2 linked regions of the Arabidopsis thaliana genome follow. The protein of the gene in region 1 interacts with the protein of each later gene in a pairwise test. Each region holds a gene or a part of one and is shown on either strand. Other genes may lie near its edges.

Region 1 (4,084 bases):
ATCTTGACGAATCGCCGGCGACGGATTCTCAGACGCTGCTATGGAAGGTGTTATGGGTCAGGTAGAGAAACGGCCGATTTCTACCATCGTCTTCATCGTTGGTACTATTTTGTCTTTACTATTTCTCGAATTGTGATTTTTTTTTCTTCTTCTAATGGGTTTGTGTATTAAAAGCTATGCAAAAGGAAGCTCAGCCTCTGATCAACAGATTACGCCTCGTTGAAGAAGTTAATACTCCGTGAGTTCTTTGACCTCTTTCAATTTTTTATTTTGATTCGAAATCAAATGTGATAGCTTTTTTGTAGGTTTCCAAAAGAGGTGACTTGGATTATGTTTAAGGGAATGTATAAAGACTTGAACATCAATATAGTGTGTCCTGGAAAAGATTCAACTCTTGGTATGTGTATCCATGTGGTTAAGTGATTGTAAGTGAAATAGTGTTTCAAGATGTTTTGTGAAGTTCTTGATGTTAATTCGTTTTTCAGGGGTTGAGAGTGTTGGCACAGTTCCTGCATCACTCGTGACTTATGCTTCCATTCTAGCAATTCAACCAGACTTAATCATTAATGCGGGAACCGCTGGTGGCTTTAAGGTATCAACATTACAAATTTCTCTACATAGTTCTCGTTTCATGCCTCTTATGTGTCAGAAATAATGAACACCCTTCCTTGTTTTTAAATGGTCTTTTCAGGCCAAAGGAGCATGTATTAGCGATGTTTATGTTGTCTCTACTGTTGCTTTCCATGACAGAAGAATACCTGTTCCTGTAAGTGCTCCTTTGTATTGTTCATGTATCAGTATGAGTTGCAAAGTAAACCTGATGTTCTTGAGTGTTATACTTGCATTCTAATTCCATATATTTTTGCCCTTTCCTAAACATTTTTATACTTTCTGCAGGTCCTTGATATATATGGTGTTGGTATGCGGAACACCTTCCCCACACCCAACCTTATAAAGGAGCTGAACCTAAAGGTGTATACTTTATTAGTTGCTCTGAGTTCACCATTTGATCCTCATGCAAGATTTTGGTTATTTCTTGATATGGTTTGCATAAGTGGTAGATTTATGATTTAGTTGCAATGTTCCCAGGTGGGAAGATTATCCACTGGCGATTCTATGGATATGTCTCCACATGACGAAGAATCCATCACAGCAAATGATGCTACAGTTAAAGATATGGAGGTCAACAATCCATAAGTTTCCTGTGTTGATGTACCTGGCTCCATACTATGTGTTTGTCTTTGTGTCTTTATCAGTTACTACGACTTATTTACGGATTCTTGGCATTTCAGGGAGCAGCAGTGGCCTATGTGGCTGATATCTTTAAAGTGCCTACGATTCTAATAAAAGGTGTGACTGATATTGTGGATGGCAATAGACCAACTTCTGAAGAATTTTTGGAGAACTTAGCTGCAGTCACTGCCAAACTTGATGAGTCACTTACCAAAGTGATTGACTTCATCAGTGGGAAATGTCTCTCAGACCTCTAACAAGTCATACGTATTAAGTTTCATCTGTTCAGTATGTGCATTGGGCGAAGAAAGCATATGAAGATTCAAGCAAAGGGCGTAGGTAGGGAATAGGTTTGAGCAGAAATTTCAACTCTTCACCTTTTCTCATTTGTTCCTCTATTTCTTTTTGCTGTCTTTCTATTGATGATCCATCATACATGTAGAAACTCAGCAAATTTGATACCCAACAACAGAGTCATAATTCTTTAATATCAATTTCGAATGATTGATGTTAACAGAAGAAAAAATTTAGTTAGTTTCTCTTTCATTCTTTTTAAGTGTGAAGATGTACAAAACAACTATAACTATAACACACCTTTGTGTTGGCTTTTAACTAAGCCTAAAGACTATGTATCAAGAAAAAAATCTCAAAGAACTGGAGTTGGATTTTAGAAAGAGCCAATGCAATAAACATGAAGCTTCTAAATCTCACACCTACTCTTCACCAAATATCAACTAGACAGAAATACCGCACAATATGCAGGTCACAAAACTGCAAAAGCTGCAGTGTATATATATGCCTTCACTTTGAACCTTATTTACAGACCCAAGATTTGAGTCTTCAACAAACAGATACAAATGGGAAGCATCGATGCTGCAGTGTTGGGTTCAGAGAAGAAATCAAACCCGGGAAAAGCCACAATTCTTGCTCTGGGAAAAGCCTTTCCTCACCAGCTAGTAATGCAAGAGTACTTAGTCGATGGCTACTTCAAAACCACCAAGTGTGATGACCCTGAACTCAAACAGAAACTTACTCGTCTCTGTAATCTCTTCATTTTAACCTCTGTTTTCAACTTTTTATCTCATTCTGTAAGCTCCTGCAACAGCAACTGAGGTTTGTTTGAACTGTTCGTTTACTATATACAGGCAAGACAACAACGGTGAAGACAAGGTATGTTGTGATGTCAGAGGAGATTCTCAAGAAGTACCCAGAACTTGCCATTGAAGGAGGATCCACAGTGACGCAGCGTCTAGACATCTGCAACGATGCAGTGACCGAGATGGCAGTAGAAGCCTCCAGAGCCTGCATCAAGAACTGGGGACGTTCTATTTCCGACATAACTCACGTTGTCTATGTCTCCTCAAGCGAAGCTCGTCTTCCTGGTGGGGACTTGTACCTGGCCAAGGGGCTTGGACTCAGTCCTGACACACACCGTGTTCTGCTCTACTTTGTTGGCTGTTCTGGTGGCGTTGCAGGTCTCCGTGTAGCCAAAGACATCGCCGAGAATAATCCGGGCAGTAGAGTTTTGCTTGCCACGTCTGAGACAACCATCATTGGGTTCAAGCCCCCAAGTGTGGATAGACCGTATGATCTTGTTGGGGTCGCGTTGTTTGGTGATGGAGCCGGAGCTATGATCATTGGATCCGATCCAGACCCGATCTGCGAGAAGCCTCTCTTTGAGCTTCATACTGCAATACAGAACTTTTTACCTGGTAAAAGACCACAAGATTTATGCATCCAGTTATGTCTATACCTTGAGACTATTCTTGGATAAATATGGATTTTCATTTTCATGGCGCAGAAACAGAGAAGACGATAGATGGAAGGCTAACAGAACAAGGGATAAACTTCAAGCTATCGAGAGAGCTTCCACAGATAATAGAAGACAATGTGGAGAATTTCTGCAAGAAGCTAATAGGAAAAGCGGGACTGGCTCATAAGAACTATAACCAGATGTTCTGGGCGGTTCATCCAGGTGGACCAGCCATCTTGAACCGGATTGAAAAGCGGCTTAACCTGTCGCCTGAGAAGCTGAGTCCAAGCAGAAGAGCTCTCATGGACTATGGCAATGCGAGCAGCAATTCAATTGTTTATGTGCTGGAGTATATGTTGGAGGAGAGCAAGAAAGTGAGGAACATGAATGAAGAAGAAAACGAGTGGGGTCTGATTCTTGCTTTTGGACCTGGTGTTACATTTGAAGGCATTATCGCTCGAAACCTTGATGTCTGAACAATAAGTTTTTACCTTGCAGATCGAGAAAGAACCCCTTATGCTTTAATAAAGACATGAAGCTAAACATACGAAATATTTTTTACGATGCTTAAATCTTTCATAGTCTAAAAATATTTCACAAAGCAAGCAACGTAAAATTTGCAATTGAAAAATGAAGAAAAGAGTCGTTATCAGCATTAAAGCCAGGAATCACGAAGAAGGTTCTTCTTAGCTCATCTCTTTCCAACGTTTTCAACAAGTCCAGGAGTTGGATCTTCTCATAACGGGTTTCATCTGTTTGTCTTCCTCAAGACAAACCATACCAACATGTGACGGATCTTCCAGCATCATCTTGGCTACTAAGTATCCTGCGACTGACCAAGTCTGGTTTTTACGCGACTGTTTCCCCACGTATCTCCCTACCTTTCCATCATAGTATTCAGGCCAGTGGTCCTTATGAAGCCTAGCCTCTGCTACTTCAATTGCTCGTCTTGCTATTTGAGGTCGACCAGTTTTGATACAAGCAGCCGTCAGAAGCCATAGCAGCACTGTGTACCATTAAACATAATTACATCAATAAGGGTCAGAATAGCAATTTACTAGGATTAAGATACCACAGAGGAACCAGAAGAACACTGGG
Region 2 (4,710 bases), on another chromosome or scaffold:
TTGATATAGATTTGTTTCTTGTCTAATCGATGATTTATCACCTGAATAGTATTCTTCCAGATTGGTTAAGTTCATACGTTCAAAGAAATTTAAAGACCACGCTCCTTATTCGACTGATTGATCGATGAAATAGCAGATCCATCAGTCATAAACGGCGCTGAAGAAACACATTAACACACCAAATTTATGTACCACACGACAACAATTTCTTCATATGTACAGACTACAGAGAGAAAAACAGAGTTTTGAAAAGATCAGACAAACAATTTGTCGGTTCGTCTCTCTTCTCTCCATCCATTGTAAACGTTTGCAATGTAATCTTCAATCCTGCTCGTCAATGTGTCATCATCAACATCATCACCATAGGCATGATTATCATCATCATCACGGTTTTCAATACCATCATCACCACCATCTTGATTACATTGGCTAAAATCTTCATCATCGTTCCATATACAACCATCATTATCAACTTCATCAAAACCATCATAATAGCTAAAACAATCATCATAGTAATATCTTGTGAAATCACAACATTCTCTGTTCTTGTCTATGATTTCACCATCAAGCATATTGTCTTCTTGAAAAGTGTACAAAACATAGAAATCTCCGGTTTCTTCATAAACAGAGCGATTACGATCGATGATAAGTAAGAAAAGAATCGTACAGAGGAAAAAGAAAAGAAGAAGAGGATTGTTGAAATATCTCAAGAAGAAAAAGAGCATTAGTGTTGAAACAATTGTTCTCCAGATGATCTCCATGACATTGATTATAATGTTCAACATCTTCATCTGGACTCTATCTATATCAATAAAAGAGTAACTTTCCGGGAAAAAACCATGAATTCTGCTGAGATAATGAGTGGAAAAAGTCTGTTGTGTGAAGTTATTGTAAAACTTAACATATATAAAATAAAGGTTTTAATATTCTAAGGATGTGTTGTACACATGTCTGTTTCTTGCTGCGCAAGTTCTAAGAATTTGTGTATGTGTACCTTTAGTATTAATATATATGTTCTTGAGAGAGAAGTTTACGATTCTTGAAGTGGGACACAATGAGTTTTTAAGTTATGATTGTAACAAGTATGTCATTTATCTCATTTTAAAAGTATGTTTTTCTAATATTTAAATCTATATATGTAGATGAGAATATAAAAAATATGGTGTAGTTTAATTTAAGGTTTTTGTGATCCTTACTCTAAGATCATCAAAGTATGAACATGCCAATAACAATAATAATTCGTATTGAAGAACTTTGCACAACCTATTTATAGGACCTAAACCCTTAAATCCCCACCATTGTATAAAATCTTCCAAATCAAGAATAAAGTAAGATTCAAAATTCTAATCATACCACATTTTCTACGTACATTTCATCTAGATCAAACCTTTTCTACCATGCATCTCCAAAGGAATTGAATCCTTAAGCCAACTCACGTGAAATCGAATAATCCATTCTCGCTTCTAAGTTGAGAAAATCCAATATTTCACGTTCTAGAATCATGACGTACGCGTGACATTTAGAAATGAGACCTTAACCTTTTAAAAGTCATTGATAAAACATTACAATATAGTTTCTTTTATAAGTAGTACAAGAAAACTTTGTATTTATAATCTCGGTAATATGATCGTAGTAGAGAATGTTTAAGAAAGAATACATTAATTTGTATGAACAAAATACTTTTGAAGATGTTTTTTTATTGGACTCCATAAATAATAAATTCAGATATTTTCACATCATTTCCATGACTCAACAAAACTCTACCTACAATATGTCTAAGAGAGTCAAAGACTATCATCCTCTTCTATAACCAAAAATTGGTTTGCACACACATGACATGACATGAACAAGAAACTACTCTCCTATTTATATTCACTCTAGAGCCGGCCCTGTTCCTAACACATAAATCAAATTCAATTCGTTTAAAAATGGAGAGTCAAAAGCAAGAAGATAATGAATACATTTTCCGCAGTTTGTATCCATCTGTGCCCATTCCTGACAAACTTACACTGGTAATTAATATAGCTAAGAACAGTTTTTCATTTCCGGTTTCGGTTTATTATAATTTAGGTTAAGATTCGGTTTATAAATACTAATGGAATTAACTAATGGCTATGTGAAAAAAGCCTGAATTTGTGCTCCAAGGAGTTGAAGAATACACAGAGAATGTAGCGTTTGTAGAAGCGGTGACCGGAAAAGCTGTGACGTACGGTGATGTAGTGAGGGACACAAAGAGGCTAGCCAAAGCGTTGACATCTCTCGGACTAAGGAAAGGTCAAGTGATGGTTGTGGTCCTACCAAACGTCGCCGAGTATGGGATTATTGCCCTTGGTATTATGTCTGCCGGTGGAGTCTTCTCCGGTGCAAATCCGACGGCTCTTGTTTCCGAGATCAAGAAGCAAGTTGAAGCTTCCGGTGCTAGAGGAATCATCACTGATGCTACTAACTATGAAAAGGTAATTAAACATTACTGTTTTCTATATGATTTGGAAAACTTTTTAACCAGCAAATGTATGCACATGATAATTTCGTTCGGTTTGGTTGCTGCAATATATGGTATAGACTAAAAACCAAACCGACATAATTCCACAGCCAAGCTGAACTAAACCAACCAATCACCAAACTCGATTTATTTGTGAAACATTTACTGTTTGTTTTGGACAGGTGAAATCACTAGGTTTACCGGTGATAGTGTTAGGTGAAGAGAAGATAGAAGGAGCAGTAAACTGGAAAGATCTTCTAGAAGCAGGAGACAAATGCGGAGATACCGACAATGAAGAGATTCTTCAGACAGATCTTTGTGCACTTCCTTTTTCTTCAGGAACAACAGGATTACAAAAAGGAGTAATGCTCACACATCGCAATCTCATAGCCAATCTTTGCTCTACTCTCTTCGGTGTCAGGTCTGAAATGATCGGTCAGATCGTGACGCTTGGTTTGATCCCATTCTTTCATATTTACGGTATCGTTGGCATATGTTGTGCTACAATGAAGAATAAAGGCAAAGTTGTTGCTATGAGTCGGTACGATCTAAGGATTTTCTTGAATGCTTTGATTGCTCATGAGGTTTCGTTTGCGCCTATAGTTCCGCCGATTATATTGAATCTTGTTAAGAATCCGATAGTTGATGAGTTTGATCTTTCGAAGCTTAAACTTCAGTCTGTCATGACTGCTGCTGCTCCTTTAGCTCCTGAGCTTCTTACTGCCTTCGAAGCCAAGTTTCCTAATGTCCAAGTCCAAGAGGTAAGACTTAAGACTTTTATGTTAGTTATTACCTTATTATTCATGTTCAATGATGTTTTGATTGGTTATATATATATATATATATTAGGCTTATGGATTAACGGAGCATAGTTGCATTACGTTAACTCACGGAGATCCAGAGAAAGGACAAGGAATCGCGAAACGAAACTCGGTTGGTTTCATACTTCCGAATCTCGAGGTAAAGTTCATAGATCCTGACACCGGTAGATCACTCCCGAAGAACACTTCTGGTGAGCTATGTGTGAGGAGCCAATGTGTAATGCAAGGTTACTTCATGAACAAGGAAGAGACTGACAAGACAATTGATGAACAAGGTTGGCTTCACACAGGAGACATAGGTTACATCGATGATGATGGAGACATCTTCATCGTTGATCGTATCAAAGAACTTATTAAATACAAAGGTTTTCAGGTAAAATGTTTATACCAAAGATTAAACATAATTCTTCCTTGTTTCATATTGGCCGGATTTTCAAAGTTGAAGCTTTTCCAATAGGTTGCTCCGGCCGAGCTTGAAGCTATTCTACTCACTCATCCATCCGTTGAAGACGTTGCCGTCGTGCCGTGAGTATCTATATAAATATATTGCCCTAATGATTTCTTGAAACTGATATATTAAAACATGAAATGAAAAGGTTACCGGACGAGGAAGCCGGGGAGATTCCGGCGGCTTGCGTGGTGATAAATCCGAAAGCGACAGAAAAGGAAGAAGACATTCTCAACTTTGTTGCAGCAAATGTGGCTCATTACAAGAAGGTTAGAGCCGTCCATTTTGTGGATTCAATCCCTAAATCTCTCTCTGGTAAAATCATGAGGAGGCTTCTTAGAGACAAGATCCTCAGCATCAACAAGAAGTAGAAGAAAGAAAACTCTTACAAGCTTTTAATTAATCTACTTTGATTTAAGAATGTCCTTGAACAATAAATACTCTTTGTGGTTTTTATTATTGCTCCTTGATTAGGAAATTCTACAGTTCAATTCTGCACCGCGCAACAACTAAAAAGATTAAACTATCTCCTCGAAAGATTTTAATCAAAACATTGATATAACTCACGGAACAACAATTTTAAACCGCAAAAACACGCTGCTTTCTCATGCTGTAAAAAGTTATACTGTAGAATTAGATATTGAACTGACTTACTTTCATTAATTCGCAAACTATGAGTATTTATTCACAATGAACTCAACAAGATATAAACACAAACTCCTAAAATATAGGACATAAACTCTATCACCAAAGATATCGTACTAATCTAATTCTCAATTTTTAATCTTCATAGTTCCTTATTATATAACCAAGATAATAGTTGTCTAGTTGAAACTTGAAATAGCTCAAGGATGGAGAATTTATCGTCTTTCACTTTACTTTTCTTTTATTCAACTTTCTCACTTTCTCCAATGTATAACTACTTCAGTACTTCAATACTCACTAGACCAGGGAAAATG

Evidence for each region. The genes of interacting proteins can lie anywhere in the genome.
Region 2: the proteins of LAP5 (region 1) and ACOS5 interact in binary tests that used the Arabidopsis thaliana proteins (3 or more experiments, as listed by UniProt).

The regions. Positions count from the first base shown.
Region 1 is NC_003075.7:16,606,259-16,610,342, forward strand, and holds LAP5 (Chalcone and stilbene synthase family protein), read left to right. Parts: upstream 1-1,945; 5' UTR 1,946-2,090; coding exon 2,091-2,274; exon of another isoform or gene 2,275-2,378; coding exon 2,379-2,945; intron 2,946-3,034; coding exon 3,035-3,462; 3' UTR 3,463-3,571; downstream 3,572-4,084. Other genes in the region: AT4G34840 (Phosphorylase superfamily protein), read left to right, coding at 41-101, 175-238, 306-397, 486-592, 692-766, 898-972, 1,090-1,182, 1,293-1,490; A/N-InvB (Plant neutral invertase family protein), read right to left, coding at 3,697-3,992. UniProt on the Arabidopsis thaliana protein: Plant type III polyketide synthases (PKSs) that catalyzes the condensation of malonyl-CoA units with various CoA ester starter molecules to generate a diverse array of natural products including long-chain alkyl alpha-pyrones.
Region 2 is NC_003070.9:23,308,626-23,313,335, forward strand, and holds ACOS5 (acyl-CoA synthetase 5), read left to right. Parts: upstream 1-1,906; 5' UTR 1,907-1,928; coding exon 1,929-2,012; intron 2,013-2,126; coding exon 2,127-2,456; intron 2,457-2,664; coding exon 2,665-3,243; intron 3,244-3,331; coding exon 3,332-3,676; intron 3,677-3,760; coding exon 3,761-3,828; intron 3,829-3,899; coding exon 3,900-4,122; 3' UTR 4,123-4,170; downstream 4,171-4,710. Other genes in the region: AT1G62935 (uncharacterized protein), read right to left, coding at 255-785. UniProt on the Arabidopsis thaliana protein: Carboxylate--CoA ligase that may use 4-coumarate as substrate.